Linked DNA regions of Neurospora crassa OR74A. The protein of the gene in region 2 purifies or fractionates together with the protein of the main gene of each other region. This does not show direct contact. Links are inferred from orthologs where the notes say so. Each region holds a gene or a part of one and is shown on either strand. Other genes may lie near its edges. The genes, in order: NCU03051, NCU08668 and NCU03961.

Region 1 (10,578 bases), on a different chromosome or scaffold from region 2:
AAAGAGGTCGGTCCCAGAGCACATCCCCTGTGCCGACACATACCTCATCTGCTTCAGAAGAGTCATGATGGGTAGAGTTGCTTGGGCCAAGACGGAACGACAGCTATGGTATTCATCTGTTGGATAAAGGTCAAAAAATGGGTGAAGAAATTCGGAAAAGGTAGCAAATGATCCGAGGCTTGACGAAGCTATTGATTGATGAATCAACCAGGTAAAGGTCCACAATAGGAATCAAGAGGACCTTGATTTTGGATTGTCAAGATTATGAGGTAGTTAACATCCACCAAAACACGAGTTCATAAATCTGGTCGTTTCCATGGACCCCTTCTTTCGTCGTCTCGAACCCTGATAGGGATATTAATAATCCTATATGCAGAACTGGTAGACACATGATCCCGCACTCAGCCGGAGGGTCTGCAAGCGTCTGATTGTCCAAGATCTCAACATGGATCAAGTTGGGTTGTTTGGGGTTCGATTCCAACCCTCGGTTCCAGACACTGGCTGGTGCGTTTGTATCCTGTGACATTGGACGGCATAACTGAACTCATCGCTATCCTCGCGATATCCATGATCCACGAGTCGAGACCCCAGAAAGCTTGTGAGTGACTGCCCCTTTCGTCTCATCATCGGCATAGGTAGTTCACCCACACAAACCACAGTCACTCGCGCTCCCTCCTCCTTGACAAGACAATAATTTCCCATTTAATGCTCAAACAAACTACAAGAAGCCATCCCCAGCGCTTTCTCGCTGCCCTTAATATCTCCCGGTGTCTATTGTAGTCAAGTCCTCAACCTCGGACCGCCGGAGCCAGCGCCCATCGCGCCTTCCTCAAAAAGCAAAGCAGGAAAAAGAAGTCGCTAGCAGGCCGTCACGGCCACCTCCCAGACAGTCAGCCATCCCTCACCTTCATATCCTAATACCAAGGCGCCGTGTCGTACCCTTTGAGGAGGCGGAAACGAAGTAGGAGACATAACAACCTTGACACCACCAGCACCCCACCGACGGGAAACAACCACAATGTGCCAAACAACCCTCTACAAAGACACGCATTGCAAACACCGCTGGATGCGCATCACCACTCCTTGTCTCCCAGGTGCGGGCTTCAACACCTGTCCCTGTTTTTCCCACAACAACAACAACAACAACAACAACAACAACAACAACAACAACAACAACAACAACAACAACAACAACAACAACAACACACGCAACTACCACTACAACAACCACCATTCTCCCGACGGCCTCTGCCACCAACCCCTCTGCCCCTACCAGCAACATCCCCATCCCAATCACACCCCTAGCCACACCGCTGCCTTTACCACTCCCATTCAGGGCCAACTCCAAATCCAAGGCCACAACACCTGCCAAGTCCATCTTCCTGGCCCTCCCTACCACCAGATCCAAGATAACTGCCCACACCACCAACACCTAGTAGCCAAGCCCGCTCCGCCCGCCTACATCGCCCGCGGCGAACCGTGTCCGGAGTGTGACTTGAGGGGAGTTTACGATCGGAATCAGGTCAGGATGGTCACCAGGATTAAGAAGGGGATTAAACTTGGTGCCGGACCCAGTGGAGGGGACCCGGGGGTTGAGGTTCGGTGTTGTGTTATGTGAGAGGCAACTCGACAAGTGTGATTAGGGGAGAGGGAGGGGGGGGGACTTGGGGCCGAGGGAGCGAGAGGCGGCTGAACGAGGTTAAGGTAGTAGAGGTTTGGGGATCGGATGGGAAGATGAGAGGGAGTGAAGGTGGGACAGGTGTGAGGGGAAATTGGGGAATTGGGGAACATGAGGGAAAAGGGGGAATACAAGACGACGAAGGATGGAAAAAGACAATGATAGTGGACGGTGGACGATAGATTGCGGCACCACGAAGACGAACTGATCAAGACATCACGCGTTTCCCTTCCGGAAGTTAAGATGGAGAATTTGATGGGGGAGATTCAAGACAGAGCAATTTGGAGATAAGGGTAACGAATACTATGCAATGCCGTTTTAACTAGACCCCAACTCCAAAAAAAAGAGAAACGTTGCCCTATTTTACCTTACGAAAGAGAAACGGTATCAACACCGTTCACCCCTTTCTCCTCTACGTCAGACATCATATGTATGTTGTGTTATGTGCGGAACGGATTTGTTCTCTTCCAGATCCCTTCTACTCTTTCCACCTACACTACCCTTCCTCCACCTGTAGGTCACTCCCATGTATCATGCTGGCGTTTGTTTCCTTCGCCAACCCCAACCATCCGACGCTCAAGAAACCTGCACGAAAGCACGCTTTTTAACTGCCTTGTTCTCCTCGTTCTCCTCTTCCCACTTCTCATCAACATAATCCTTCACGCTCTTATGCTGCAACTGCATGCCTACGACCTTGAGCGCCGCAACATTGTACCCCATCTCATCCTTCTGGCGCTTGAGTGCACCACGCAAGTTGGTGCGAATGCCATCCAACATGGCGCGCATCGTCTTGCTCGCCACGATCTGCTTGTGGTGGGTCTTGAGCATGAAGAACAGAATTCTACAAGTAAGCGGGATGTTCATGGAGCGCATGGCAAAGATGTTGAGGAAGGTGAAGAGCATGGGGACGGTGGCGAATGGCAAAACGAGCAGAGCATCATGCAGCGCCGACGCCTTGATCTTCTGCAGCACGTTCATGACATGCTGCTCGGCGCTGATGTTGCCGAGCGCCATGAAAAGCACGTTGCGCTGCGGCGGCGCCACGTTGGGGTTCTGCTGCTTGGCCTCCTCCCACTCCTTGATAGCGTTGAGGTCGGCCATGCCGAGTTCGAGCGCCTCGGCAATGCGCTCACCCGCCATGAGCGTCTCAACCGTCTGCTTGGACGCAGCGCCGACTTCGCGGTTCTCGTCCTCGGCGTCGGGGTCTTGCTCGAGCGAGGTGGTGAGCGTACTCTCGTACAGCTCCTCAATCTCTTTCTCGCGCTCTTCTTCGAGGAAGATCTGCTCGTCCGTCTCCTCCCATACGCGGATACTCTTGTCATGACTAGCGCTGATGAGGAATTGGCCGCTGTGAGCAACGGCAATGGCCCAGATCTCGCCGTGGTGGCCGTCGATCCTCTGAATCTGCTCGAACTTGTCGGCATCCCAGTACTTGATGGTGCGGTCCTTGCTGGCACTGAAGAAATGGTGGCCGTTGCCGTCCGAGTTGTGAGGAACAAAAGCAACTTGGAGGATGGAGTCCTGGTGACCGAAGAGAGCCTTGTGGCAGTCACCGAAATCGAGACCCCAGATTCTGATGTTCTTGTCGGCGGAACTTGTGACAATGAGCTTGTTGTCGTAGGAGATGTCCATGCTGAGAACGGGCAGCTTGTGACCGTAAAGGTTGAGGTAAAGCTTTAAAGAGTCGACGAAGAAGACCTTGACAGTGCTGTCGAGAAGGGCAACAGCAAGCAACTTCGCGTCGGGGGAGAACCTGAGACTCAGGATATCGTCTGATACCTTGAGAATCTTGGACTGGACAAGCTTGAGCTTGGGGGTTGTCCTTGACGTGCCTAGAACCTGTTCCTGAACGATCTTGAAGTCCCAGAACTTGGCTGTCTTGTCAGCACCGCCAGAAACAACGGACTTGCCGTCTGGGTGAACCTGTAGTGACCAGATGGCATGGCCCTCGTGAGCGTTGACGCTCTCTAACAGAGATGCCGAAGCAACATCGTAAAGCTGAAGCTCGCCCTCCTTGGTTCCGACCACGACCACCTTGTCGCCAGGCAAGAAGGAACAGCAGAGCGCGTAGCCACACTCGAATGTCCGGATGCATGTGTTGGTCTTGATGTTCCAGATCTTGAGGGAGCCGTTTGCTGCCGAAGCCAACATCTTGTCGTCTGAGCTGATGGAGAGGGCACGAATGTCTGTTCGGTGTCCGGGAAGCTCCACCGCAAGCGCCTTGTTGTAGTCTGGCGCATCACCCTTGGACTTGAGCTTATCCTTTCCAACAATGGTATATGTCTCGAGCAGGTTGTTTGTGCCTCCAACAAGGAGCTGGAGATCCTTGGTTCCTTGACTGAGGGCCCAAGCGACCGACCGAACCTTGCCTGTTGTCCGCACGATAACATGCTGCACGAAGACGTCGGAGATGTCTGCTTTTGAAATATCATCGGCCTTGTCGTCTTCCTCTTCCGCGTCTGCTTCCTTCTTGCCCTTCTTCGCAGCCAGCTCTCTTCTTCTTCTCCGCTTCCTCGCCAAGCTCTTCTTGATTTCGGCTTCGTTTCGTATCCTCCAAATCTCGACAGACTTCTCGACGCCATGTACTGCAAAATAGTCGCGACGGGGGTGGAAGATGACCTCGACGGCCCTTTCTTTGCTCGAACGGTGTAGTGTGCCGCGATCGTGGAGGAAGTTGATTGCTTGCGAGAGATCGACCTTGCGTGCTGACGAAGCGAGTCCTGCTACATCCAAAGCCCATACCCTCATCTCGCCGTCGTTGCCAGCTGTGACGCATCCACTAAGGTCGGGAGAAACACCAAGCGCCCAGCACTCGCCGCTGTTCTGTGCCACATGGGTCTCGATACAATGCCGTGATGAAAGATCCCAAAGCTTGATGAGCGCATCCTTGCCGGTCGTCAAGAGGAAACCTTCTGTCGCTTCGTTGTCCAGCACCATAGCCTGCTCTTCGTCGTCGCCGCCTTCGGGTATTTGCGGCTCGGGCTCGATGAATCGCAGTCCTGTGATCTGATCCTTGTGTCCTCGTAGCTTGTACTGGCCGACTTCGGCGACCAAATCCCAAACGATCACATCGGTATCCTTTGCGCCACTGGCCAGGCGCACTCCCGACTTGTCGAAGGCCAGTATCGTGATTGCCGACTTGTGTCCATTGAAGCTGACAATGGTGGTGGAGATCTTGCTATCCCACAGCCTGATGCTGCCGTCTTCGTAGCCGACAGCGAATACGTCGGGATCGGTCTTGCTCTGGGCGATGGCAGTGACCTGGGCCTTGCAGTTCTCGTCCTTCCAGCGGTTGAGAAGCTCGCCCTTCTTGATATCCCAAGTTAGAACCTCATTGTTGGCGGCGACGATAGCCTGGCCCGCACCGGTGCCAGATTTGTCTTTGGAGGAGGTCCAGACGAGATTCGAGGAGCTGGTTGCGACGACACCGAAGGACTTGGAGGGCTCGAATTTGCTGTTGTTCCCAGGTGTATTAGAGATGCCATCAGGCGAGAGAAAAGTAGGACAGAATCGCAAGGCTTACAGGTATGATTTGACCATATTTGCGATAATTGGACAGCCACTAGTACAAGATGCCAATCCAAAATAACATGCGCAAGGTCTCTCGCGATTCAATGTCCACTAGCACAATCGTGTCGCCGCTGCGCAGTGGGTTGCCGTCCCTGAACTTTTTTTTGGCGTTGCCAGTCCGGCAAGTGATAAGATAAGAACTTTTGCCGCGTCCATTTCCACCAGCCACTGCCTGCCCAGACGGCCACTGTCCGCTGTGGCTGGCCCGGCCCCTGTCTGAAAGTGGCCCGGTCCCGCCGCCGCATCGTATCACGGCCTGGACGGGTTCTGCGGGGCAGTTTCCAGGCTTGGCGGCGTGTCTTCCGGCGCCAGAGTGGAGCCAAAGTACTTCAGCCTGGAGCCAGCAACGTCAGCCAGCCTGAAGCGAGGACCTGACCCCCTGCTGGGAATAGGGGGTCTGACAACAGGGCCAGAACAGGGTGCAGGCAGTGGTGTTGACAGTGCAAAAGCGTTATAGAACGAATCCGCTTGTATAAGCCCCTTTTCGATAATTGTATGTTTGGTTGAACAATTGTGGATTGTAATTAATGCGTTTCGGTAGTTGGTCTATTTGCGTTTGGATAGCTGACCCGCTAGAACGGTATACTTAAATAGTAATAGTATTTTATATAGAATAAAAAGTAGTGCGTACAATAGGAATTTTCGTTAAAAAGTGGTTCGCGTATATAATAGAAACTTCTATATAATAGAATGTTCAATTATCGAAGGTACTTCATCTTTAATATTTTATTTTATCTCCGAAGTAATAATTAGTTAAACTATCTATTTACAATACAAAATAAACTCGTATAAGAATTATTTTTGAAGGTTCAATTTATATTTTAAATTTATTCTTTTTTCTTTTATAAATATCCTACTATATATATATTAATTTATTTTATTAAACTTTTACTATTGTATATGTAATATAATAATTATTAATTGATATACGATTGGAAGTTGAATGGTATAATTAAATATTATATGAGTATTATTATATTATTTGAAATTATTGTAATATTTATTTAATATTTATTTATAATTTACTACTTTGGGGTTGCTGTTAGTATTTATTTACTATCTTAATTCCGTTGCTATAGGTATTTTTAGGTAGTATACTTTGTGCCTTACCCTTAAAGTAGTTTAGGGCAATTCCCTTATTTACTATTATTGTAAAAATATTAAATATTTATTCCTATTTTCTATTCCTAGTAGCTAGCGTTTAGTAGTATAAAGAAATACGTAGCCCGGGTATTTATTTTACACCTGCTTTTTTTTAAGCCCCTTTATATAGTACCCCGAATTTGTATTAGGATCTTAGATTATTGGTAGTTATTAGTACTAGTATTACTAATATATTACGCTTTAATTTATAGAAACCCTACGATAAGGTGTGTAATAATTTAAATCTATATATTATAATAGTAATTATTTATAATAACGTTAGTATATTGTAGATATATAGTGGGAGTTGGGGGTCGCTACCTATATTTCTTATAGTATATATATTAAGGTCCCCTACGGAAGTGGAAATTTATATATTAATTAGATTGTATATACGGAGTACGCTACTATTAATTTTACTTTTAAATAAAGAAAGTTAAAATAGTATTCGTCGGTTCTATTTATAATACCCCTTAGTATTATAATAAAAAAACTACTAACGACTCTAGCTTCTATTTAGGTCTCTATTCGGAGTTAAGTAGGGATATTTTATAGTTAATTATTATATTACGTAATTATTTTAAATATTTATATAGTTGGAGGGTAGTAGCGCTAAGGGCTTTAGTAATAGTAGGGTAGACGGAATGGAATAGGTGTTAGGTAGTGGGTAGTGGAAGCGATTTAGAACTTCTATTTACTTTTATTATAGGAAATTTCCTCCTAAATTTCTATTTCTTCCTAAATTTCCTTTAAAATTTCTATTTCCTCTTAAACTTCCTTTATTATTATTACTTTTACTTATTTATTATTAATTAAGTAGCTTATAATTTATATTTCTATTACGTTAGTATTGCTTATAATTATTAGGAGAAGAAGTTTATTTGTATTCTATTATATAGAAAAAGTATAGTTATTATTGATTTAGTATTAAATTAGAGTTCTTTCCGTCTATTTAGTAGGTTGCCCCGGTTTATATTTAGTATACTTTAAAATCCTTAAGCGAATTAAATATATTAGGAGTTAGTATAGTTAATTATATTCTAAATAGGAGGGAGCTTAATATATAGAATATTAAAGCTACTATAAAAAAAAATAATTAATTTATAGATTTAATATACTAAAAATTCAAAGTTCGTTAATTTCCTATTTGTACGTAGCTTGCGGTATAGTTGAATATTTACTTAAGAAATGGATAATTTAGCCGGAAGTTTGATAATTTGATTGGGTATCTTATTATTTAATTAAAGTCCTAATATTTAGATTAGGAGTTCGATAGTTAGATTGGAATATTAAATATTAGATAAGTTATTCGATAGTATAACCGGGCTAAACGATAATTATATTAGAAGTTTAATATTTAGTTACGAGTTTAATAAGTCGATTGGGGATTAAAATATAGTATACGGGTTACTCCCTTTAAGGTATCGGGCGATTAGGGAATATATTAACCTATATCTATTTTTTTAGAAATTATTATAAAATAAATTAACTTTTGTAAATTGCTAACCAACTATTTAGGTAATATTTATTATTATATAGGGGGTATATAAATTCTTCTACTTAGGTATAATTGTAATTTAAATTTATAGTAGGTAATTGTAATATAATATAATAAATATTAATAAGCAATAGTCTTATATAGAATAATATTAATTAGGAATAAAGAGTATAGAGTAGTAAGTAGGGTAGGAGGGTATTAGATAGTTATAAAGTACGTACGAAGCGTTTATAGTGAGAATTTACTGCTATTAGTAATAAATATTATTAAAAATAGAGGGGGAGTAGTGGATATAAAGTATTAAGTACGCGGGGAGAGTGTTTTAAATAATAATTAGAAGTAGTTAGTAATAGGTAGTTTAAATAGAGGGAGGGGCTTAGGATAGTAGAAGAAATAGGAATTTAACTTTATAGTACTACAATTAAAAGGTAATATATATTGTAATTGGATAGAATCCTGTTTACTAATACCGTTAGACTAATATATTAATATTATATTTGTTTTTTCTATTTAATAATAGGGAGTTAAATATTATTATCGACTTTTATATTTACTTATTGTAGTAGGATAGTAGGTAATATCCCTACTATAATTTAATTATATAAGTAGAAGCGGGGTTGGTATTGAGCGGGAGTGTAAGAGGAAGGGCCCGAATTAATAAGATTATAATTGTAAAAAGAATTTGGAGGGTAATATAGAAGATATATAGTATAATAGGGTAAAGAATAAATGGAAGTTAGGTATTTAAATATTATAATGCTGCTATTATAAAAATATTTAATTAAGTGCTGTAGTAGAGTGTAAAGAATAAAAGATTTTATATATAGCGATAGTACTTAGGAGAGTAGAAGTAGGAGGTTGTATATATATCGGATTTAAATTGTAGGACGTAGCTAGCTAGGATGGGAGTTAGGGTACGGAGGTACTTTAATAAAAGTAGTGCTAGTAGTCGATTAATATAACGAGGAAGGAGTATAAACGGGAGTAGATTTAGTATTTTCTTTTATAGGTATATTCTATAAATTTTGATTTTTTTTACTAATATTTTATACTTATTATATAAAATATTTAGAAAGAATATTATTAATTAAGGAGTATTAGGAACCGTAACGTTGAATAAGACGGGGGTATAGACGCTAGATTTAATCTTTTTATTCTAAGAAGTAAAAAAAAAGATATATTTTTTTAATTAATACTCCGGTTAATAATATAATAAATGAAGTTTATTGTAAATATTATATATAAAATAATATTAATTGTATAATTAGGTTAGTATTATACTATGAAAGTATTAAATAAAAATTATACAAGTCTACGTTGGTCGGTTACCTTCTGTCTATTCTATATAAAGTAGATATTATATTAAATATATATAAATATACTACCTTTTAATTTAGGTACTATCTATACCCGCTTTAGGAGTACTTTAGGGAGTCTAATTATATTATAGCTATTTTTTAATTTATATATAGGGTAATTAAGGATAGGCTCCGTCTTTTTACTATATTCTGGGGTATTAAGGTACGTTATTATAATAAAAATCCGGGTTAAATTTGTAATTTTATAAGTGAAGATGCTGTTAATTTTTGTAAGTTAAAATTTAATTAAATATTTTAGTTATAAATTTAGAAGTATATAGGTTGAGCGTTTTATTCGGATAAAATCGCTAGTGTGAAATTTAAATATTTTGTCGAGCTTATCTATAAATACTACCCTTTTATACTATAATATATTTTTCTTCCTTAGGTTTATAAAGTATTAGAATTTGTAATTAGCTTCTAATACTTTACGAAGGAGTTTACCGAATAAAGTATCTTCCTTTATTTTATTAATATATAAAAGTTTATTTAATTATTGTTCTATAATAGTCGGGTTTAATTGAAAATATATAGAAGGAGAGCGATATTCTAGTATATATAAAGTATTAAATTTCGATATATCTTTATCCTTAGGTTACTCGCCGAGCCGGGGATCCTATTTTTTGGCTATAGCGGGGTAAAGTTCTTTAAGTTTAAGGAACTTCTAGTAGTTATTGGGGTTTATATATTTAAAATATCCAGTAAATAAATACGTAATAGTTTGCCGTAGTTAATCCCTTTAAAGTAGTATTAATACTACGTTATAGAAATTTGTTAAATTAATATCGGTTTTATACTTATTATATTAAAATTCTCTAAATAGAATAAATATTATATAAAGAGTTCTATACTCTCTTATTGTTTTATAATAGTATAAACCTTAATATATATTAGGAAGTACCAACTTCCTACCCTATTTTCCCTTATTATTTACTTTGCTTGTATTTAAATTAATATTACTATTCAAATCTTGCGTCTTTACTCTTATGTTGCTCGATATTTTATTTAATACTATAGATTTTGTAAATAACGCTTTTAATACCGCTACCGAAGGAGTATAGATAAATTTGGATGTGGGAATAGTATACGTATTAATATTAAGTTTAGTACTGGGTGAATTTAGGTACTAAAGTATTAAAATTAGGGATTTGGCTCGAAGGTAAATAGTATAATTATATAGTCCGGTAGCTTGTAGGGGTTTTATTAGCTTTCGAATACCGGCCCCGGATGTAGATTTATTACTTTTTTTTTTGCTTTTGTTCTATATATTCTATCGAATGTAAAATATAAATTGGATGGTTCTTCTTTTTGCTATTAGCTTCGTTCTAAGT
Region 2 (9,606 bases):
CACTTCCACTGCCACTCCCACTTCCGCTTCCGCTTCCGTTCCTTTGCTGCTGATTGATGGAAGCCCTACTCCTCTGCGCCCTCACACTCTGCTGCTGCGAGGACTCCCCTCCTCCTCCTCCTCCTCCTCCTCCTCCGGCTGCCACCAAACTTCCCGATCCCAGTGGTGACGTCGGAGTAACCGGACTGGCGCTAGCCGCGCTATTGATTCCCATCCCAATCCTCGTAGGCAAACTCAAACAGGGACTAGGAGGCCTCAGTCCCGTTCCCATCTCTCCTCCGCCGAGTCCCAGATCGAAACCGAGTGATCCATGTCCGTGTCCTCCTGATGTAGATCCATGCGAGACGGTGGGTGAGGAAGCGGAGCTGGGGACTGAGAACTTGCGGGGTGGTTGTGGTTGCGGATGTCCCTGTCCTTGTCCGTGAAAGGAGGGGAGAGCGCTAAGGGAGAGACATGATTTGGAGGCGAGTAGTTGTTTTTTGTTGGCGGAGGTTGAGGGGGCAGAGGTGGTTGAGTCCAAGATGGGGAGGTTGGCTAAGCTGGAGGAACGAAGTTGGTTGTGGCTCTTGGTGGTTTTGTTGTTGTTGTTGCTGTGCTTGTTCTTGTTACGGTCGACACCGCGGCGAGATCGGGCAGAGGTGGGCGAGTGTTGGCGTAGGGGGTTGAGATGGGCGGCGGCGGCTTTGTCGCGAAGACCTTCTAGTCTGATGGGAGTGGCAGGGTTAGCATTGCGCAGAGAGAAGGGATAGTACCTCTGAAAGGGAGAAAAGACGTACTGTTCCTCTGTGATACCGGGGATAACAGTGGTTTCTTTTTTGAAGTTGTAAGGAGCCGACTGGGGTGTTTGATTGTTAGTGGATTGCTTGTCGTTGCTATGCTCAGGACTAACACTTACAATATCTTGACCCCGGACTTGCTTCCTCCGCTTGATTCCCAAAAGCTCCTGAAGCGAGGCGCGGAACCTCTTGAAGTTGGAGCAGACCTGCATGTTTGCGATATACTGCCGCCCGCTTGATTTCAGAAGAGAGAGAAGAATGAAAGAATGACCGTGTTGTGACGGCTGGTATTAGTGCATTAAGTGAGTTTGTGGGAAATGTAAAAAACGAATGAGTATTAGATAAATCTGTATCGATGGCCGCTTCCGAGGTTGCGCATGCGCATGTGTGCGTCTAAGTGAGTGAAAGTAACGTGTCTTATCGGCAGGAAGAGATGCAAAAATGATGGGCGTCTGGCGTTACCGAGGTCGACGTTGTACCTGATGATGATGGACAACAAAGGACTGTGTGAAAAATGAGGAGATAACAGGAGATCCAAAGACAAGAGAGTCAAGCTAATGCCCGAAGTGAATGGCGAAATAATGACGCACAACAGTGCAGAACGAACGTACACGATACCGTGGAAAGAGCGGAAGAGGAGAGGATGAACAAAAACAAGAGTGAATGATCAGAAAGACAAAGGAGTGGCAAGCCCGTCCAAGTGGCCCATTGACTTCTCTGCTGGCCTTCGCTGGTGACAACCCAGTGCGGCTCGGCAGTTTAGCCCTTCTGAAGTATGAATCCGGGCTCAAAGAGAGGATTGCCTGAAGAGGACCACACTTCCCGGGAACCCAAGAGAGAGGTCAAAGAAGATATACTACCGCCGCATCGGATCGTCGAACCCAACTCGGTTAGGCTTCAGGAACGTGTTCCCTTGGCCAGGGCAGACAAGAATTGACATTGATACCCTCAAAGGGCCGCGGGTGAAGTGAAGGATCGTGAATAGACGAATAGACGAGAAGAAGATGGAAGGAAAGAGGAATGAGGAAAAGCATGAGCCCGGCGACGCCCCTCGCTTAGGTTTTGGATGAGAGCCTTGGAATGCGGAACAATTGACGTGGGATCTCTTTGAGACATCCCTGAAGCAGAAAAGGCTGGTGTCTTGGATTCGTTCAATAACAGGTAACAGGGAAAGACTATCTATTGCTGATGATATGCAGCGCGCACGCGCCCGAATACCTCCCTTATTGACGATTTGTGCCTCCTTGCGTCGAAAATCGGGCGGCAGGGCGTCCCGAAACTCTATTTGGGATAGTCCTTCAGGTGGTAGCTCTTCAACTTGACGAACTGGTCGAAGCCGTACTTGCTCAACGTTTGACCCTTGCCCGAGTTCTTCCAACCAGTCCAGGCCAGATCCTGAGAGATGCGCGTCAGTGAAACGAGGTGGTTGATTGTTGTCGCAGGACACAAAAGTACTTACAGGGCTGGGAAAATCGCAACGGTTCACGAAAACTGTCCCTGCCTCTACTTCCTCGGCGAGTTCGTATCCCTTGGCCGTGTCCTTGGTCCAAATACTGGCAGTGAGGCCAAATTCGCTGTCGTTCATCAACTGAATTGCCTCGGCATCGCTCTTGACCTTCATGACTGGAATGACGGGACCAAAAGTCTCGTCCTTCATAACGGTCATGGTGTGATCCACGCCGGTCAGCAATGTCGGTGCGACAAAGTTACCTTTGTCTGGCAGAATGCTGAATGTCTCATTCTCGGGTGTCGCATTCTTGGCGCCCTTGTCGAGCGCGTCCTTGATGTGTGCCTGGATGGTCTCCTTGGAGCGCGCCGAGATGACTGGGCCGAGATGCGTCCCTTTATCCAACGGATCTCCAAGCTTGTATCCCTTAAGAACGTTCTGGACGGCCGCAATAAACTCGTCGTGAATCTTCTCGTCAACGTACACTCGCTCAATCGAGCAGCAGCTTTGACCCGAGTTGAAAACTGCGCCGTCGACAATCTCTTCGGCAGCCCAGGCAATATCGACATCACCGCGAACATATGCAGGATCCTTGCCACCCAGCTCGAGGCCGACGTTGACGATGCGATCGGACGCGGCCTTCTGGACGGCCAGGCCACCAGCAACCGAGCCGGTAAAGCAAATGTTGGCAATCTTGGGGTTTCGCACAATTGTTTCAATCACTGTCGGCGAACCCGAGTGGAAGTACTGGATGACTCCGTCGGGCAACCCAGCCTCGGAAAACACCTTGGCCACCTGCTCGACAATTGTGGGTGTCTGAGGCGAGGGCTTGAGAATGACCGAATTTCCAGACAATAAAGCGGGAATCAAGGCGTTGACGAGAATAAGATAGGGGTACTGCGCAAAGTTAGAGGTGACGGATGGAGTGTCAAAACAACATGATGGACACCACTTACGTTCCAAGCAAAGATGATGAGAACAGGACCAACAGGCACCTTTCGGATGAACCTCTTGAATCCCTTCTCCTCCTCGCCATCGGTGTCCTTCAGAGCATCGTTGCTGATCTTGAGCAGATACTCTGAGCGCTTGATGGCAGTGGCAACCTCCTTGGCAGTATAAGCAATGGGGCGGCCCATCTGGACGGTGAGTTCCTCTGCAAGTTCATCCTGCTTCTCGGCCAGCAACTTCAAGGCCTTCTTGACGATGATCTGTCTGTCCTCCAACTTGGTAGTGCGCCATCCTTGGAAGGCCTTGAAGGCAGTCTCGGGCAGTTGGACGAGTTCCTCCTCTGAAATGCCATTGCGAGTGATGATGGGTTCCCCCGTGGTGGGAGAGATGGTGGTGATCACCTCGACCGACATTGTTACAAGTAGGCTTATCGGCCAGGTATCGAGTGATAAGGATGGTGAAGTGGGATGCAGTGTTGGTTGTCACAAGGAGGAAGAGCGAGTCAAAGGGAAAGAAAAGACACAGTTCAGTTACTCTAGTACTTAGTACTATAATTCGTTATACCTTCCACAAGAAGAAAAGAGCAAACCGACTTGATTCCCATGACCCAATGACACCATGTCGCCCCTCCCGTCGCCGTCTCACTAACAAACAGGAACACGACATCACACTGCCGCACACAGAGTGGCTCCCGCTCCGTTTCTCGGCGGCAGGCCGGGGGAGCTTTGATAAGATAAAGAGTTGTTGGCAGCGCGGGGTCGGGTCTGCAGTGTATGAACTCCACCTCGGAAGGAACCTAAGGCGGGGACGGGATCAGCCAACCTGAACTTCCATTCCCATTCATACTTTGTTATCTCTTATCGGCCCTGCGTGCACGGTCCCTTCCTGCCTGTGGCCCCCAGTGGAGCCAGAAATTTTGAGAAACAGCAGCAGCCATGTCCGTCCAGCGCTTCCACGCCAAAAGAAGACTTGCGAATCGCGTCGTGATCCTTCTCCAACGCAAACAAACACCCGACTGCCCTAAATCTCCCCATAACGACCCAATCATTCAACCTACGAAACTTTCAGCATACAACAAAAAGTCCACCAATTAGAAACACAAGTCAATCATCCATCGACAATGCCGGAGGACGATGTCAGAAACAAGTTCCTCGATGCTGGCGATAGCGACGACGATGCGGGCCACGGTTCTGACTCGGAGGATGATTTCCAAAAGGGTGGCCGTAACGCCAAGCGCAGAAGAGTGAGCGATGACGAGGACAGCGAAGCCGACGACTTTACCGACGCAGAGGAGGAACACGACCAAGATGATGCTGAAAGCAAGGATGCACCTGCAAAGGACGGCCAGGAAACAACAGATGGAAAGGAAAAGAAGGATGGAAAGAAGGAGAAGGAGAAGAAGTCGGTACTAGCGAGTGACCTTCCGGGCATGACGAAGCCTCTCACAAAGAAGAATCTCATCGTCACGGAGGAGGCCATCAAGAAGTCGGGAGTGGTGTACATCTCCAGGGTACCACCTTTCATGACTCCTGCCAAGTTGCGCTCCCTGCTGGAGCCGTACGGAAAGTTGAATCGCATTTTCCTGGCCCCCGAGGACCCAGTTGCGCGACGCAAGCGCATTCGCAGCGGAGGCAATAAAAAGAAGATGTTTACAGAAGGCTGGATTGAGTTTGTCAAGAAGAAGGGTAGGTCTTCATTCCGTGAGACTCGCTGAGACCCAAGTACAAAGACGCTAACAAGAAAACCCGTTTGTTTGCAGACGCCAAAAAGGCATGCGAACTCCTCAATGCCCGTCCAATCGGAGGCAAGAAGGGATCCTACTACCGCGACGATATCTGGAACTTGCTCTACCTCAAGGGTTTCAAGTGGCACAACCTGACCGAACAAATCGCTGCTGAGAACGCCGAGCGATCCAGCAGAATGCGCGCCGAAATCTCCAAGACAACCAAAGAAAACAAGGAGTTCGTCCGCAACGTGGAGAGGGCCAAGGTGCTGCAGGGCATTCAGGCAAAGAAGGCGTCCAAGGGCAGCAAAGCGGGCGGTGAGGGTGCCGCCCAAGTCACAGAATCTACTATTCCCTCGGCGGCGGCAACGACGACGACGACAACAAACGACGATAAGAGGAGAACATTCAAGCAAATACCCTTGGCCAAGAAGAGGAAGCTCGATGAGACACAGCCCGAGCAAGTACAAAGAGTGCTCAGCAAGATCTTTTAACCTTCTCGTTTGGCCCCCGAACAATAGGTTTGAGACACGGAGCGTTCATGTACCTGTGGGATTTCTGTCGTCAAAGCGACTCCGAGACATTAGAGATGGGTGGTGTTGATTTTCTTTCCCTTAGGCAATTGTATATATTTTTCTGCCTTCAGTCATCTTGATACCCAACCTGATTTCCTTTTGCTATGAGAGCATCTCCATTTCCGTCACTTTGTCATATCCCTACTTATCGACGCTGCACAGAAACCGGCCGGCGTTTGGTTTAATTGGCCCACCATGAGCACATTCCAAATCCCAGCCACGAGGAAGAGTGCCCCTGACGATACGGTCAACACTCGATACAACTTCACCAATTGTCCTGTCGCAAATGCTGTCAAAAGGGGATCATATTTAACGACTCACCCGACTTACGCCCTTCGCATACTTCAAGGACTCATCCAGCGTATGCTTGACGTAGATGAGGAAGGTTGCGAACATTTCTCAAAACGTCGCCTGGACACCATACTCCAATATACGTCCTGGTCAAACTATATCATCGGGCATATCCGCCAAGACCGCTCTTGTCGTTATTTGAGTGAAGATCAGATGCACAAGTTCTTCCATGCATGTATTCAAACGGTCGAGGATGGCTGTACCCTGTGGGAACATATATACCTTTTGAAACCTAGTTGCTGTGCTGGGCGTGGCTCGTCTCAGGATGAGAGCCTGGAAATGACCACATCTTCACCCAGGTGGTTTTCGAGTAGCACATCCTCAGCATCAAATGAAACCATCAGTTCGGCAACTCAAACACCCCTACTTTGGTCAAGAAACCCCTCTCTCGAGCGAGAAGCGACTCCTCGATCTGTTTCCCCTTCTCCTCCGCCCCCAACAAAATCGGACCTTGTGCTTTTCCAGCCAAGGACAGTTAGCATCTTACCAGTAACCAGTGACTGCTTGTCCAGACTCCGCGAAATTTTCAGCTTCTACTGGCAAAGGTTTATCTACGGACCCCTCGCCTCCCTCTACCGGTGGTTCTGGGACACACAAGCCAATCCTATGGGCTCTACCTTCGGATCACGTCTTGGGCTAAGAGCACCAACCTTTTACCCCTTTGCCCCAAACGACAAACAGTCAAACTCGCAGAAGCTATTAGAATGGCCAATCTCGTCAACACCGCCAGCGACCCCATCTGCACAGAGTGTTGCCAACCCCGACCATAACAGCAAGGAGATAAATGAAGATCCGACGCCAGCAGACCGAATGTTCAAGACAAGGGAGGAGGTCAAAGATATGTGGTGGAAGGTGATGGCCAAAATCCTGTTGGCCGAACACCGTGAGCGGAGGGAGAAAGAAGCGGTGGCTTCAACTTGGGAGAGGGCGAGCGCAGCAAGTGTTACGGAGAGTACCTCTAGGTCGTCTTCCGCTATTTCGTTTGTGAGTAGCGAGGGAAGTGATTACTCGCTGCGTCCTGAGGACTGCTTCTCGACCGTTGGCTCAAGGTGCGGTCACTCACAAGATGGGGATCAAGAGTCAGTTCAACCTGCTACCAGCCATTCCTCAACCCCTGAATTCGAGGAATGGTATGCCGAGTGGTTCTCTCATTGGGTGTTGGAAACTTCTTGCAAGCTGAGGTCCCCAGAATCAGAGGATAGATTCTCTTGTTATTCATTTTCTTCGTCAGCAGCGCCGGTAAATGACAGCAATCATCTTGAGGATAGCAACGCCTCCGATGACGACGACGAGATCACGGACATCCGAACCAGACCCTCCACACCTACACCGCTTTCCTCGCCTACTATTAGCCCCCTCCGCGGTCAAGATCGATACCGCTGTCTTTCTCTGTCCCGGTCATTCTCCACTTCTTCACCCAGTCCAACTCCGAACACCAGCATCCCCTCTTCTCCGATTGCTGGGTCGTTGCACTCTCCACGTCGCTACCGCTCACCTAGTCCAATCCTCCGTCGCGGAATCCCCTCTCCCTTGGATATCACCAACTTCCCTCTTCCTCCTCCTCCTTCGACCATATCCCCAGTGTTCCCTACCTCTTCTTCTTCTTCTTCTTCTTCTTCCTCTCGCTCTTCCTCTCCAACTCAATCCCCTCAGCACGAAAATCAATGCGACCCCGAACCTCCCCAATCCCCGCAAGCCACTTCCCCACCGATAATCCGTCCCCGTCCACGTCCCCTCCTAAACGCCAAAACAGAAGACTACCTCTCCAATGCACACCTCCTCCGCTTCCCTGCCACCGTGTCCGCTCGGCTGATGATGACTGCCGAGACGCTGGGGGTCGCGGGCGAAGGCAAGAGGAAGCTGGTTAGTGAGCTGCAGAGGACTCCTAATCCTACGCCGGCGGTGGTTGAGACCAAGTGGAAAAGGAGGGCTAGTGAGGAGGTTAACGGGTTTGATTGGGGGTTTGGAATGGGTGGTGAGAAGGAGGAGGACGAGGAAGAGGAGGAGGGGTATGGGGAGGAGGAGAAGGGGTATGAGACGCATTGAGTTGTTTAAGGGAGGGTTTGGTGGTTTTCGGTGGGCTTGGAGGGCTTAAACGAGGGGGAATTAGGGTGTGAAGAGTGTGAAGTGTGAAGAATGTCATGTTGTTTGAGTGTCTGCTGTGCTCTCTTTTTTCAAGGGGTTATGGTTTTGTATCGTAATGATTTGAGTGGTTTTGTAGAGATAGAGTGCAGTTTTGTTTGGGACCTAGGTAGTTTGCGAGATGTTTTCCGTTCGAACTTGATTGGATTTTCCGAGCATGTTGAACTTGCTGCGAAAACCTAACGATATGGGTGACTTTAGGGGACCTCCGGGTTGTAATGCGCCTTTGATTTGCAATGTCACTCTCGTGAAGTTGGAAACTTGCCAGCATTCACTTGGTCACGTTCAAGAGACGACAGTTCTTATTCAGTTGTTGTAATGCGCATGAATAAATCTAAGGGGTATCTACGAAGCTCTAACGAATCTTTTGGTGGAAGCAATTGCGTCAGATGCTAATTACGTGATCCTCCTATGTCCCTACTTATCATTCCTTCTATACCTCAGGCCATGCCATAAGGTCCCTGCCGAATCATTCTCAATTTTGTGGTCGTAGCCTCCCAACCCCAAACTCCATTCGCCTAAGCCAGTTGTTTGGTGACTCGCTATGCTGCCTGCCAGCAGGAAAAAAAAATCCGATAAGTGAAATTGTGAGAACCCAGACAAAGAAATTAACTTGCGAAGTAATGTAAGGAAGTTGGGTTTGTGAGTGAGCATGAAGTGGTATGCTCAGTTATCGGTGACCTCAGTCTGAACCGCCTGAAGGACCTCTCCCTCGTCGATCTTGGCAGTTTCCACCATCGAGGGCTCTTTGTCGACCACAGCGTCGGGAATCTGAATTCCGTATCGCTCGTAGGGAAAGTCGAGCAAGCTGGGGAGGTAGTCCGCCCAGCCATCGTCGATCTCGCCCGGCTTGTCGTCTGCATCGACTTTGCCGTTGGTGAGGCCGGCTTGAGCCTTCTTCTTCTCAATGTCAGCTTGGTTAAGAAGACCCGCGAGAACCAGCTTGGCGTCGCCATTCTTGTCCACCTCCTTCTTGAGCATTGGGTGGGGGCACCAGACAACGCGCATGCCGGCGCGACGACCAGCCTCAACACCGGGAATACTGTCTTCAAAGACGAGGCATTCCTCGGGTGTGATGGGCTTCTCGCCCTCGGGTAGTGAGTCGTTGATCGTCTTAAGGGCGATCAGGTAGATGTCCGGAAGGGGTTTGCCACGGCCCTCGGGGATGCGCTTGTCGTCGCCGAGAACGCGACGGTGGGTCTCGAAAACCGAAAAGAGCTCCTGGATGTGGTTTGTCTTCATGCGAAAGTTCGCCTCGTGGGATGATGTGGCGAGGGCGATGTGAACCCGATGAGGCTTCGGGGCGGGCTTGTCGGTGGCGCCATTGGTAGTAGCAGACGCATCCCCCTTGAGATCCCAGTAGCGGGTACTGCCAAGCTTCTGCAGAAGCTCCTCGACACCGGGGAGAGCCGTGGTATGCTTGAATTTCTGAGCTTGAAGAGCGTAGTATTCCTCCTTGTACTGCTCACGGGTGATGGGCAAATCAGCCCAGTTATGGAAGATGTCAAGGGCCGCAGGACCCGGGCGACCTTGGAGCTGAGCCTTGATGCTCCATGGCAAGGGAAACTTCTCCTTCTTGTGTTTTCGCAGAAGCTCATTCACACAGAGGGTATAGATGTCCTCGGTGTCGAGGAGAAGGCCGTC
Region 3 (10,349 bases), on a different chromosome or scaffold from region 2:
GGCTAACGTTCGCATAAGTTTCGGATTGTTGCAAGCTAGCCCAGTACTCGATCTCTTGCTGTTCCATAGGGCTGCATTTGGTGACAACGACCCGCCAATGCACCCGTGCGAAGTGAATATGGTCCATGGTGGCCTCCCATATCTGCTGTATGATCTCGGTTATAGACCTGGTGAGCGGCCTGTCTCTCCGACCGAGACAATATGATGTGGTCATCTGCCTCGTTCCTCGATAATCCGTCCAGGCGGCAGTAATCCACCGCTCGTCCACGCTTTGCGCGTAAGCAACGTGCATACATGAGTTCTCCTGGAGCAAATTCGGGGACGGGTTTGTGTTGAGCTTGAAGTCGATCGTTCGCAGAACCTGTGGCTCTAAAACGATGGCGGGCGCTGGCATAGGCCCACCAAAGAGCGTGCAGCGATCGTATGTTTCAAGACACAGCTTCATGTAATCGACGGGAGACATCACCGTCACAGTTGTGTCCGACGCAATGCAGTCAAGCGGAACCAGCTGAAGGACCAGCTCACTCGTGACCGGCTTCCCGATGTCTGCCATACACTGCTTGTAGCGCTCGTAGAGATCGTGGAAGGCGGCGCATGATTCCACGACCGAATTTGGCCTATCATCTGGGTAGACAAAGAAGACAACGTAGTTCTTTTCCGTCATCTGGACACTCTTTAGTGCATTTGCGAGGCAACTCATGGGCCCATTGAACGGCGACACAGCCCATTCATCACGAACAGCTGGTTGTTGGGTCGCGAAGTATGATAGAAGCCCATCCTCGAGATCCGGGACAGTAGGGAGGATATCAAACGTCCCTAACTTCAGGGATTCGTAAACACTGCGTATCCGCTGCAAAAAGGCAGAAGCGCTATCCCGTAAGCCGTCAACGTTAGGGAACAAGCAAACTGATACAATATCCTTGGCGCCTTTTGCCGGACTAAGGCCTAAACTTTCCCAGAAACTGATGGCTGTTGGCAGCATCGAGAAGGGAGTTTCATAGCGGCGGATTTCTATATGGGGTGTTGGTATCGGGTAGATGTTTCGAGTTGACATTTCTGAACCCATCGGCTTAGCTTGAATACGTTGTGGCTGCGCCAGTGCTACCAAAGGCACATCTTGTACATCTGCGTATGGCTTGAGCGAACACTCAATCGCATCGGCTAGTGACCGTGGCAGGGCCTTTCGTAGCCCTTGCATGGAGTACCGCACTGCTTTGGCCAACGTTCTGCGCACATCCTGGGGCTTCCGGCTCAAGATTCTGGGAGCGATCTGTAGCGAACCGGTCGCCACTTGCTCGGTAAGGATTTGAGCAATGGTAATGAAATTCGTATCAGAAAAAGAAACCTGGAGCCGTGCCGGCTCTGGATCTGCAAAATATTTGGCGATAGAAAACTCGGGCACCTCGGGGTGAGATAACCGAACCAAATCAATCGACCCATATGCAGGTGTATCTGCCACAGCACTTTCGAGGTCTTTGAAAGAAGCAGCAGTTGAGAGGACATCGTCGTCCAGACGTCGCCTTGAAATTCCTGACTTGGCGAGAGAGGGTGCGTAGTTGCTCTCGTCGCTCAAGTCGTCTGGATCAGACGCCCAACTAGAGTCATCCGTCTCTGACGCAACTTCGTCGCGGCCTGTCAAGCTACCGCCAATCCCGTGAGCTATCCTCGCTAGAAGAGCCCCAAAGTTACTTGGAGGTTCCTTGGGAGGTTTTTCGACTCTCGTCAATAGAGGATTTTGCAGTTCTAATCGCGTTTTTTGCATTTCTTGCACGGCCGGAATCATGTAATTGAAGGGGCCGTTCTCGGTGTACTTTTTGTTGACCAGGGATAGTGAAGGGTCGAAATCAACCTTGTCGAATTCGCTCTTTCGTCGCTGAGAAAGTGCTGTAGTAGGAGATCGTGGTTTCGGAGGCGACAGAAGTGAGGCCTTGATTCGCTTGTACACAGTCTCTCGGTTAAAGGGGCTGTGCGGTCTTTTGATCCCTATCGTGGAATTACGATTGAAGCTCTCTTGATTTGCTTGTTGTCGACTTCCTTCAGCGAGGGTACTGCGTGCGTGTTTAAGCTCGGGTTTGGTGAATTCTGGAGGCGCTGGCTGCGGAATCGTCTTGTAATCTTCCACTCTGTTGTTAGTCTGGGGAGCTGAGTTAGTTGGTTGACCCGCATCAGCGGACAAATCCGTTGTCGTTCCCAGTCCTGATATTGCACTGAAATTCATCTCGACACCCTCGGTCTGTTCGTTGAGTTGTTCGTCGAAAAAGTTGAAATCAGCATCGGTAAGCTCGTTGCCTTCGAACATGTCTTCCCCGAGATCGCCGAACATATTGTCACCCTCCAATAGATTCCCAGCCTGCTGCTCCCGCTTGTTGTCGCCGCCTTCCCAGCCATTGCCAAAGTTCTCCGTATGGGGGGCGTTGTTCTTCATCACAGTATCTATGCCAGCCATCGCGTTATGCTGGGGCTGGTTTGCAGGACTGGCAGCGAAGCCTGTCTCGGCAGAGGCAGCCATGCCTAATGGTTGAATTCCATCCGGAGGTGTCGGGTACATTGCACTGGAAGCGGCTATGGCCCCACCGTTGCTCGGCCGGCGCAACGCCATAGGCGACGCAGCACTAATCTGGTTGTTCTTTGAATCAGCGTCAGCAATACTGCGAGACACGGCTGCTAGCGCCTCCCTCTCGTCTCTTTCCTTCTTTCGCTTTGCGATCGTCTCTTCTCGCTCAGGAAATCCTTGGCACCATTGCCTCGCGTCATCTACCGGATCTAGCGATTCGGATGCGCTCGCCACCAGTGCCTTGGATGAACGGCTATCAGCGCCAGCATCGATCCTCGGTTTTCTAAAGCAAAGCACCGATGGCCAAGCCGCGATCTGAGGTGGGTTCGTCAAAGGAGGTCTCTTGGCGTCTTGCCTGTGTTCGTATGGTTTTCGCTGCAGGAAGTGAACATTGAACCAGGAGCAGCCATTGATCAGCGAAGGCGATATACCACGCATTTGGAGTACTTTGCAACACGTTGCCTTCCATTGTGAGAGCCTATCGGTTGGATCCGGCTTTAGACGACTGATTTGGGTGTCTGGCGAATGGCCATAGCCGCTATCAAGTCCATACATGTCCCCATCCACTGGGTTCAGCATGAAACCGAATGCTCCAAGAGGAGCAGCAAGCACCACTGGGTTTGATGGGAGCATGTTTGACCGCGCCAGCTCCGCAAAAGATGCCAATCCCTCAAGCAAAGAGACGGAAAGAGAAATGACGAGTGTCCCGGTCGATGTAAGATAGACGCGAAAAGTACCAAGGGCACAGCTTTGCGGCTTCGGGCCTAGGATGAACTCATCCAAGTAGTATGCTTGAGAGGGGAGCAATATCGACCTATGGTCCAGCGGAATGGCTCCTATCGTGTGGCACAACGAAGAGGACAGAGATGCCAGGGTCGCAGTAATGAAGAAGTCGTATTTTTCCTTTAATGGCACATGGGCGAAGCGATCCGAGTCCGAAAGTATGTGCGACGCGCCCTTGTTATCCATAACTGGAGCGCCGGGCATGACACCTGCTGCGGTAGGAAAGGCAGAGGCCTGCGGATTCCGGAATGCAGCGTCAACAACGGAACCGGCAGAGGACGAGCTGTTTGGAGTGTTGAGAGAGTTTGTCCCAAGCTGTCTGCTTCTGAACAAGCTACTGGGTTCAAAGCCGCCTTCTCCAGACAAGCCTAACGAGTAACCGCAGACCTCCATCTTGGCGGTGAGCCCTCGCTCCTCGGGTCCCAACATGGAGCCATCCTTGGTTGTCAAGTAAAAGACCCATATACATCGCCGGGTGGTATCGACGTGGACGAGGTGGCCATCCCGGCGCAAGGCATCCTCGACGACTTGTGGCTGGAAGGTGTAAGAGGCTGTGTTGGCGGCAACGGGTTCGTAAACGCGAAAAGAAATGGCGGAAAGATTATTCTGCAGGAGAGACGCGTGAGTTAGGGGGGGGGAGTGGGAGGCGGTGGTCCGAGGACGGGACAGGCCAGCATACAATTAGCAAGGTATTGGTATCATAGTCGCCAGTGTCCATATCTGAAATAGAGATGCCTTTGGAGGCGGAGTCGCAGAAGTCGTAGTGACCATGCACCGGGCGCGAAGGCGTGTTAGCGGAGTGGGATGAGGGCGCATGTAGGCCGGCGACGGCGGCCTGAGGGACGGTGTGATGGCGTGTTGGGATGAAAGTCTACTGTGGCGACGCTCAGAAGTGGAAGCTGTGGAAGCCGAACTTCAAACAGCATGGATGATGAACTCGGTAGTTGTCTTGAGCTGTACGTCGTTGGGATGCTGGACTCCATGGCAGCAAGGCCCCTGTCCATACAGCGCGAACCGTCGCGGATCACCGACCATGCGCCCACGAGGTCATTTGCGGGTTCGGGACCTGGGAGATGGGACGGAGTGAGGAGCTGTAAGGCGGGAGGGGGATGCGATGGGATGACGGGATGCGATATTACTGTAGGTTAGTGTCGTGGGACTGAAGGATGGTGGACATCGGTTCAGGTAGGTAGGTAGTTGGCGGTCCGGTGGTAGTAACGAATACGGTGACGGCGGGCAGTAATCGTGACTTCACAGCCGCCATCGAGGTGGCCGACTCGAATCAAAAGGAATTCGGTCCAGTAAAGTCCATTGCAGTCAGTTGGGTTCCAGGTCGGCGGGATGCCCTGCCCGCCGATGCGACAGGCGAACAGCCACGCAGGCAGTTAGGTTCGGATCAGCGACGGGGGAGGACCCACACTACCTCTAGAGGTATCCACAGCTGAAAGGACCCTGCTGCCAAGCACAATCCAGGCCTGCCACCTCACCTACCTAGAGGCACCCGGCCTAGGTACTGCAATGACCTGCTGACGGCGACGCCCGCCTACCAGAATTCAAAGGTCCACCACGGGCAGTCCTCCCGTCCCGCTTCCTCTTCAAGCCGCCTTATCGCCCTACTACCTTTCGCTTTATCGCCGGTGGCTCTCCGCCTTCCTTATTTGGCGACCATGGCACTTCTCTGAACTTTTTGCAGATTTTCTGCCGCAAAAAGTTCAGATACGGGTTAGGGTTGTTCTCCAAAACTTCCCATTCAGCAGATAGTAGCAGTTGAAGCTTTCTCTGCTTTCTCAACATCTTCCATCCTTGCCCCATCCCTCATCACCAACAAAACCACCCATCATGAAATTGACAAATCCCGGCGCGGTGCCAGTGTACGTCTATTTGCCATTGGAAAAGAGAGATCCGCTGTGAAATGCTAACCATCATCGCAGATACACCGTATCTGGGCCGTCGACTGCGAGACCCCTTCCAGAATGGCTTGCCCGCCGCAGAAAGAGATCGGCCAAGTACGAGCCCGAAGAACTCAACAACTTCGAGCTCCTCCAGAACTTCGACTTCGAGGAGGCCAGCAACTGCGTCCGTGTCAGTGAAGATGGCAACTGGATCATGAGCTCCGGTACCTACAAGCCCCAGTTCCACGTCCACAACACACAGGAACTGTCGCTGTCTTTCGCTCGCCACACCAAATCCGAAAACACCACCTTCATTATGCTCAGCCAAGATTACACCAAGAGCGTACACCTCCAATCCGACCGTTCGATCGAATTCCATACCCCCATGGGATGTCACTACGAAGTCAGACTCCCGCGCTTCGGCAGAGACCTTGCATATCTCCGTCAAAGTACAGAAGTGCTCATTCCCTCTGTCGGTTTGAGTGCGGATGGTTCTGGTATGGGCGAGGTTTTCCGCCTCGATCTGGAGCGCGGCCAGTTCCTGAGGCCATGGCAGGTGGATGTGGGTGAAGATGAGCCCGGTGCTGGTCTTCAGGGAAGCATCAACGTCGGAGCTGTTAATGTCGCGGCCGTCGCCGAGTCCACACACGGTCTTTGCGCCTTCGGAACGACCGTCGGCACAGTCGAGTTCTACGATCCCCGTAGCAGGAACCGCGTTGCTGTATTGGGCGGCCAAGAGGGCGAAATCACTGCGTTGGATTACAGCAGAGACGGTCTCTCTCTTGCGCTCGGAACAGGCACGGGTATTGTTCAAGTTTTCGATCTGAGAAACCCTCGCCCGCTTATGCGGAAGGACCAGGGCATGGGTCTTCCCATCAAGAACATCATCCACTTGACGACTCCTACCGAGGAAAAGAAGCTTCTCACGGCCGATAAGAGAATCATCAAGCTCTGGGACGAACAGAGTGGCGACCTCTGGACCTCAATCGAGCCGACCGTTGACATTAATCATGTGGCGCATGTCCCCGATTCCGGCATGCTATTGACGGCAAACGAGGGCAAGCAGATGCACAGTTTCTTTATTCCCAACCTTGGCCTGGCTCCCAGGTGGTGCCATTTCCTCGACAACATGGTCCACGAAATGGAGAACGAGAAGCGTGTCGACACATACGACAACTACAAGTTCCTTACGATACCCGAACTCAAGCAGCTCAGCTTGGCTCACTTGGTTGGCAAGACCAACCTGTTGCGTCCTTATATGCACGGTTACTTTGTACATTCCAAGTTGTACGACCAGGCTCGTCTCATTGCCAATCCGTATGTCTGGGAAGAGGAGCGGGCCAAGCGCGTCAAGGAGAAGGTTGAGAAGGCTCGCGAGAGCCGTATCAGAGGTGTCAAGAAGGTCAAGGTCAACCAGAAGCTGGTTGACAAGATTGTTGATCGTTCCGACAAGAAGAAGATTGCCGCTGGCGTCTTGGGCGATTCTCGTTTCGGCAAGCTGTTCGAGGATGAGGAGTTCAAGGTCGATGAGACGTCCAGGGAGTTCAGAGCCCTCAACCCCAGCACCCAGGTTGGCGGACAAGATGTCGCAGTACAGCATGTCAAGGACGACTCTTCAGTTACCAGCAACAGTGACGATGAGAGCGATCCGGAAAGCGAGGTCGAAAGCAAGAAAAAGAAGAGCAAGAAGAGCAAGGATGACGTGGTCATGCAGGTCTCGTCGTCCAAGATTGCGGGCGGCAAGGCGAAGGATACGGCATTCGGCCAAAGAGCTCCAAGGACCGGGCGCGTCACTAAGACCCGAACGGACGTGGTCGGAGAGCAGAAGATTACGTTCGTGCCCGAGTCCAAGAAGAAGAAGCAGGCTGAACCCGAGGCTGCACCAACACGGAAGAGACATGATGGGAGGCGAAGTGCAAGCACGAACACCTTTAGACGACTGTAAAACGCCAGAAGCTTATTGGTCCAACCCTATATACTATACATGTGAAAAAGTCATGGTATCTTTCATGTCAACTCCTCCAGGCCGTGGTGAACCGGCCAAGAACATCATTGCCGTCCACGGCACACATTTCTTTCCGAATACGAGTCGCAAAGCAATAGGCTCGCGCGACCAGCGATACCCAAAATATACCCCAAGCTTGCCATTTTCGTCATCAAATGGTTCATTATATCTCAACTCGTGCTGTCTGATTTTCTCTTGCGCCACACCGGCTCACTTCCGACTGAAGTTGATGCGTGTCTTTCCTGACTTCTCCGGCTTCCCCATGCCCTTTTCCAAATCCAGATGCTCGGGTTTGATGCGCGGGGTGGGTGGCACATCATCGATCCTTACACGGCCTTTATGTTGGGATCTGGTTGATCGGAAAGATCCCTTGACCGATCTGGGGAACTCGCTGCGTCGTGGGGTCAAAGCCGTGACGACCCTCTTTGCCGACTTTCGAATGGTCTCCCTGACCTTCCACTCATTTTTCTTTGCCAGGAAGAAGAGAACTGCGCTACCGACTGTTGGAGGGAGGGTCAATATCATGTCCGGTCAGTGCAGTATTGCTGATGGGCGAGAAAGACTTACCACCGAAGATGGTGACGACACAAACAACCACAATGATGGCGATCAGACCACCTTGAGATAGCCCGACGTCGTTTGATGACGTCCCGGCCGCACCGGCGATACTTCCACTGTCTCCCATGTCTGGACCAGCACCGACGCTTCCTGGGTTCGCATCCGGCTCGTAGTTGGCGTCTGACGACATGACTGCAGTTGCTGGGGGTTCCCCTCCCTTTATATAACTGCCACTGCTGTCTCTTGTTCCAAACCAGGCCCGGCCTCGTAGTGACGTGATTATGAGATGTCGGTCTGATGTCGAAAAGGTCGATATGAACTGAGGTGAGACCACTTTATTTTTCTTTATTCTCAGTTGCGTTGCACGGCAAGCAATGAAAAGTCGAGACCGATAGGAATGCGACGCGCGACTGTCAAAGTCGGGTGATGAATGATATGACAGTGGGAAGAGGAAAGTGAATAAAAAATATGAAACGCAATCAAAGAGGAGGAGGACCAGAAAGGGAAAAAAAAAAAAAGGCGGGCGTTTGGGAGGCAATAGAGGTGGTTGTAGGGGTTGGTAGGTAGGTGGGTATGTAATTTGTATAAACGCCGGTGTTGCTTCGTGGGCTCGCGGCGGCTACTCCTACTTCCAAAAGAGGTATATGTGCGATGTTAATGGTTGATACCGTGATTCGACAGTGAGCAGTACTTAATGGAGTAGACTTAGGCCCTCTTCTTCTTCCCGCTTCCTTGAGTGGTTGCCTCCTAGAGGAGCTACCTTAGTGTATGCTTAAAAGGACCCAATGCCCCCGCTCCCTTCTCCCCGCTAGGCAAGGTACTGTGATCTGACGATGCCCAATCTTTCAATGCGGACGAAATCTTCACCTGTCGTTATAGACCCGGATAAATCGACTGTGTGCCCAGATATTTCGGCGGTGTGGAACCTAACTAGCCAATGAGGTGTCATGGAATCCCAGCGGCTCAACTACCTCTACACTACACCAGCGTTCGCTATGGTCATTCTTACAATGCGATGCTTGCCTTGAGTTGCTTCTCAAGATGAGGGAGATAGAATTCGAAGGACTAAGAGATGGTGGTGGAAATGAGGCATTTGAAGCTAAGGATGCATAGAGACAAACGCGAGGCCAAGGTCGGAGACAGCCCGTTGGAAAGTACTACTCCTAGAGCCAAAGAGTAATACAACGGGAGCTCCAAAGTCAATACCAATTAGTTGCTCTAAGTTGTCGTTAATAGAAGGCGAGGAAGGGTAGGTGACTACGCGCAAAGTTAATGCCAATTGCCAAGTTCAAGGGTCTTGGCTTCTTGGCTTGGCTTGGTGCTCAGTTTGTATGGCCCCACACCGCCGAAATATCTGGGCACACAGTCGATTTATCCGGGTCTGTCGTTATGTGACGCCGAGGTTCGCCTGCGTTTACTGTGCCTGGGCGTGCCTGGTTGAACCTGGTCAATGGTCATGCTGTCTCACTCAAATATCACCATCAACGAGTCGCCGACCGTTGCATTCGGCACTTTGTCTTTCCATTACTACATCAAAGAACGGTTTCTCGCCTTCCCGACTACATACCTAGGTGATCATCCAGCGACCAGCGGCCTGTCTTGATATTACTTGACCTCACTTAGGTATCCGTTCTCGTTGCGCCTTACCGCCGCCATTGCTTCCACTGTCTCACGTGTATAGGCAATTTCATTCAACAACAACGTCCATTGACGAAGAGAAAACACAGAAAAGAGGTCAGGCCCAGATAGTACCAGCACATAAAACTCCATGGCCCCTGTCCGCCCAAACAATTCCGCCTCCGCACTAGCGCCGTCCACTCCCAACCCATCACTGTGATCCTTTCCCCCTGGCGGCCCTGAAACAATCCAGGTACGCTAGCCAATCCAGGTCCTGATTGGCCAGAAACCCTTAAAGACTCACAACTCCCGGCGCTTGCAGACGGCCATCGTTAACCAATCGGACAAGGGCTTCGGCTTGGTTGCCGCTGTACTACTCGTACCTAGTGTCCACTATCCAACGACGTCCGGAGTGTCCAGGGGTGTGAGTGTGATATGGTGAACATGGGATGGGGGTTTTTTTTTCAATTTTTTTTTTCAATTTTTTTCTTTTTTTCCCAACGACAAGTGAACATGATATGATGATCCTGTCTCCTTTGTGCTTTTGTGTGTGTGTGTGTGTGTGTGTGTGTAAATGAAGTTGGTTGATAAATACCATGTGGGCTTGGTCACTGTGACCGTGATGGTCACTTTCACTTTCTTTTTCATGTCTCTTCTATTGCGCTACCTACCTATCCTTACCAGACAAACGGACGGGCCATTCGATAGTGCGAAGGTATATAAGGTGATGTTATGCTTCTGTTCTGTCCCGCATCAAATGTGATGCCCCCCGAGTAGTAATAGTGATTGATGCTGGTGAGTGTGGCACACATTATTCGTTACGAGGTGTCATGCGGATAGCTTGACTCTCATATGCCTTGTTCGAATGGCTTCCTCCGTGAGATGGGGTGTTATCTTCGCTCTCCTTGGTATCCCTCTTTCAACCTTTCAGTGATTTGAG

The links.
Region 1: the proteins of NCU08668 (region 2) and NCU03051 purify together in Saccharomyces cerevisiae (affinity purification with mass spectrometry; 3 studies listed by BioGRID). This does not show direct contact. The link is inferred for Neurospora crassa OR74A from reciprocal best matches to the Saccharomyces cerevisiae genes ESF2 and DIP2.
Region 3: the proteins of NCU08668 (region 2) and NCU03961 purify together in Saccharomyces cerevisiae (affinity purification with mass spectrometry, with the first as the bait; 3 studies listed by BioGRID). This does not show direct contact. The link is inferred for Neurospora crassa OR74A from reciprocal best matches to the Saccharomyces cerevisiae genes ESF2 and ENP2.

What each region holds. Positions count from the first base shown.
Region 1 is NC_026501.1:8,273,568-8,284,145, forward strand, and holds NCU03051 (WD domain-containing protein), read right to left. Parts: upstream 5,333-10,578; 5' UTR 5,219-5,332; coding exon 5,202-5,218; intron 5,133-5,201; coding exon 2,255-5,132; 3' UTR 1,909-2,254; downstream 1-1,908. Other genes in the region: NCU03053 (hypothetical protein), read left to right, coding at 104-127; NCU03052 (hypothetical protein), read left to right, coding at 1,019-1,618. UniProt on the Saccharomyces cerevisiae protein: Involved in nucleolar processing of pre-18S ribosomal RNA.
Region 2 is NC_026504.1:4,157,196-4,166,801, forward strand, and holds NCU08668 (pre-rRNA-processing protein esf-2), read left to right. Parts: upstream 1-4,117; 5' UTR 4,118-4,291; coding exon 4,292-4,856; intron 4,857-4,930; coding exon 4,931-5,388; 3' UTR 5,389-5,573; downstream 5,574-9,606. Other genes in the region: NCU08670 (hypothetical protein), read right to left, coding at 1-704, 777-835, 896-988; NCU08669 (betaine aldehyde dehydrogenase 2), read right to left, coding at 2,058-2,171, 2,236-3,120, 3,180-3,584; NCU08667 (hypothetical protein), read left to right, coding at 6,631-7,866; NCU08666 (HAD superfamily hydrolase), read right to left, coding at 8,629-9,606. UniProt on the Saccharomyces cerevisiae protein: Involved in the small subunit (SSU) processome assembly and function, and in the 18S rRNA synthesis. Required for the early cleavages at sites A0, A1 and A2. Stimulates DBP8 RNA helicase ATPase activity.
Region 3 is NC_026506.1:2,243,472-2,253,820, reverse strand, and holds NCU03961 (WD repeat protein), read left to right. Parts: upstream 1-5,069; 5' UTR 5,070-5,176; coding exon 5,177-5,208; intron 5,209-5,268; coding exon 5,269-7,174; 3' UTR 7,175-7,444; downstream 7,445-10,349. Other genes in the region: NCU03962 (hypothetical protein), read right to left, coding at 1-3,943, 4,017-4,055; NCU03960 (hypothetical protein), read right to left, coding at 7,445-7,734, 7,802-7,982. UniProt on the Saccharomyces cerevisiae protein: May be involved in rRNA-processing and ribosome biosynthesis.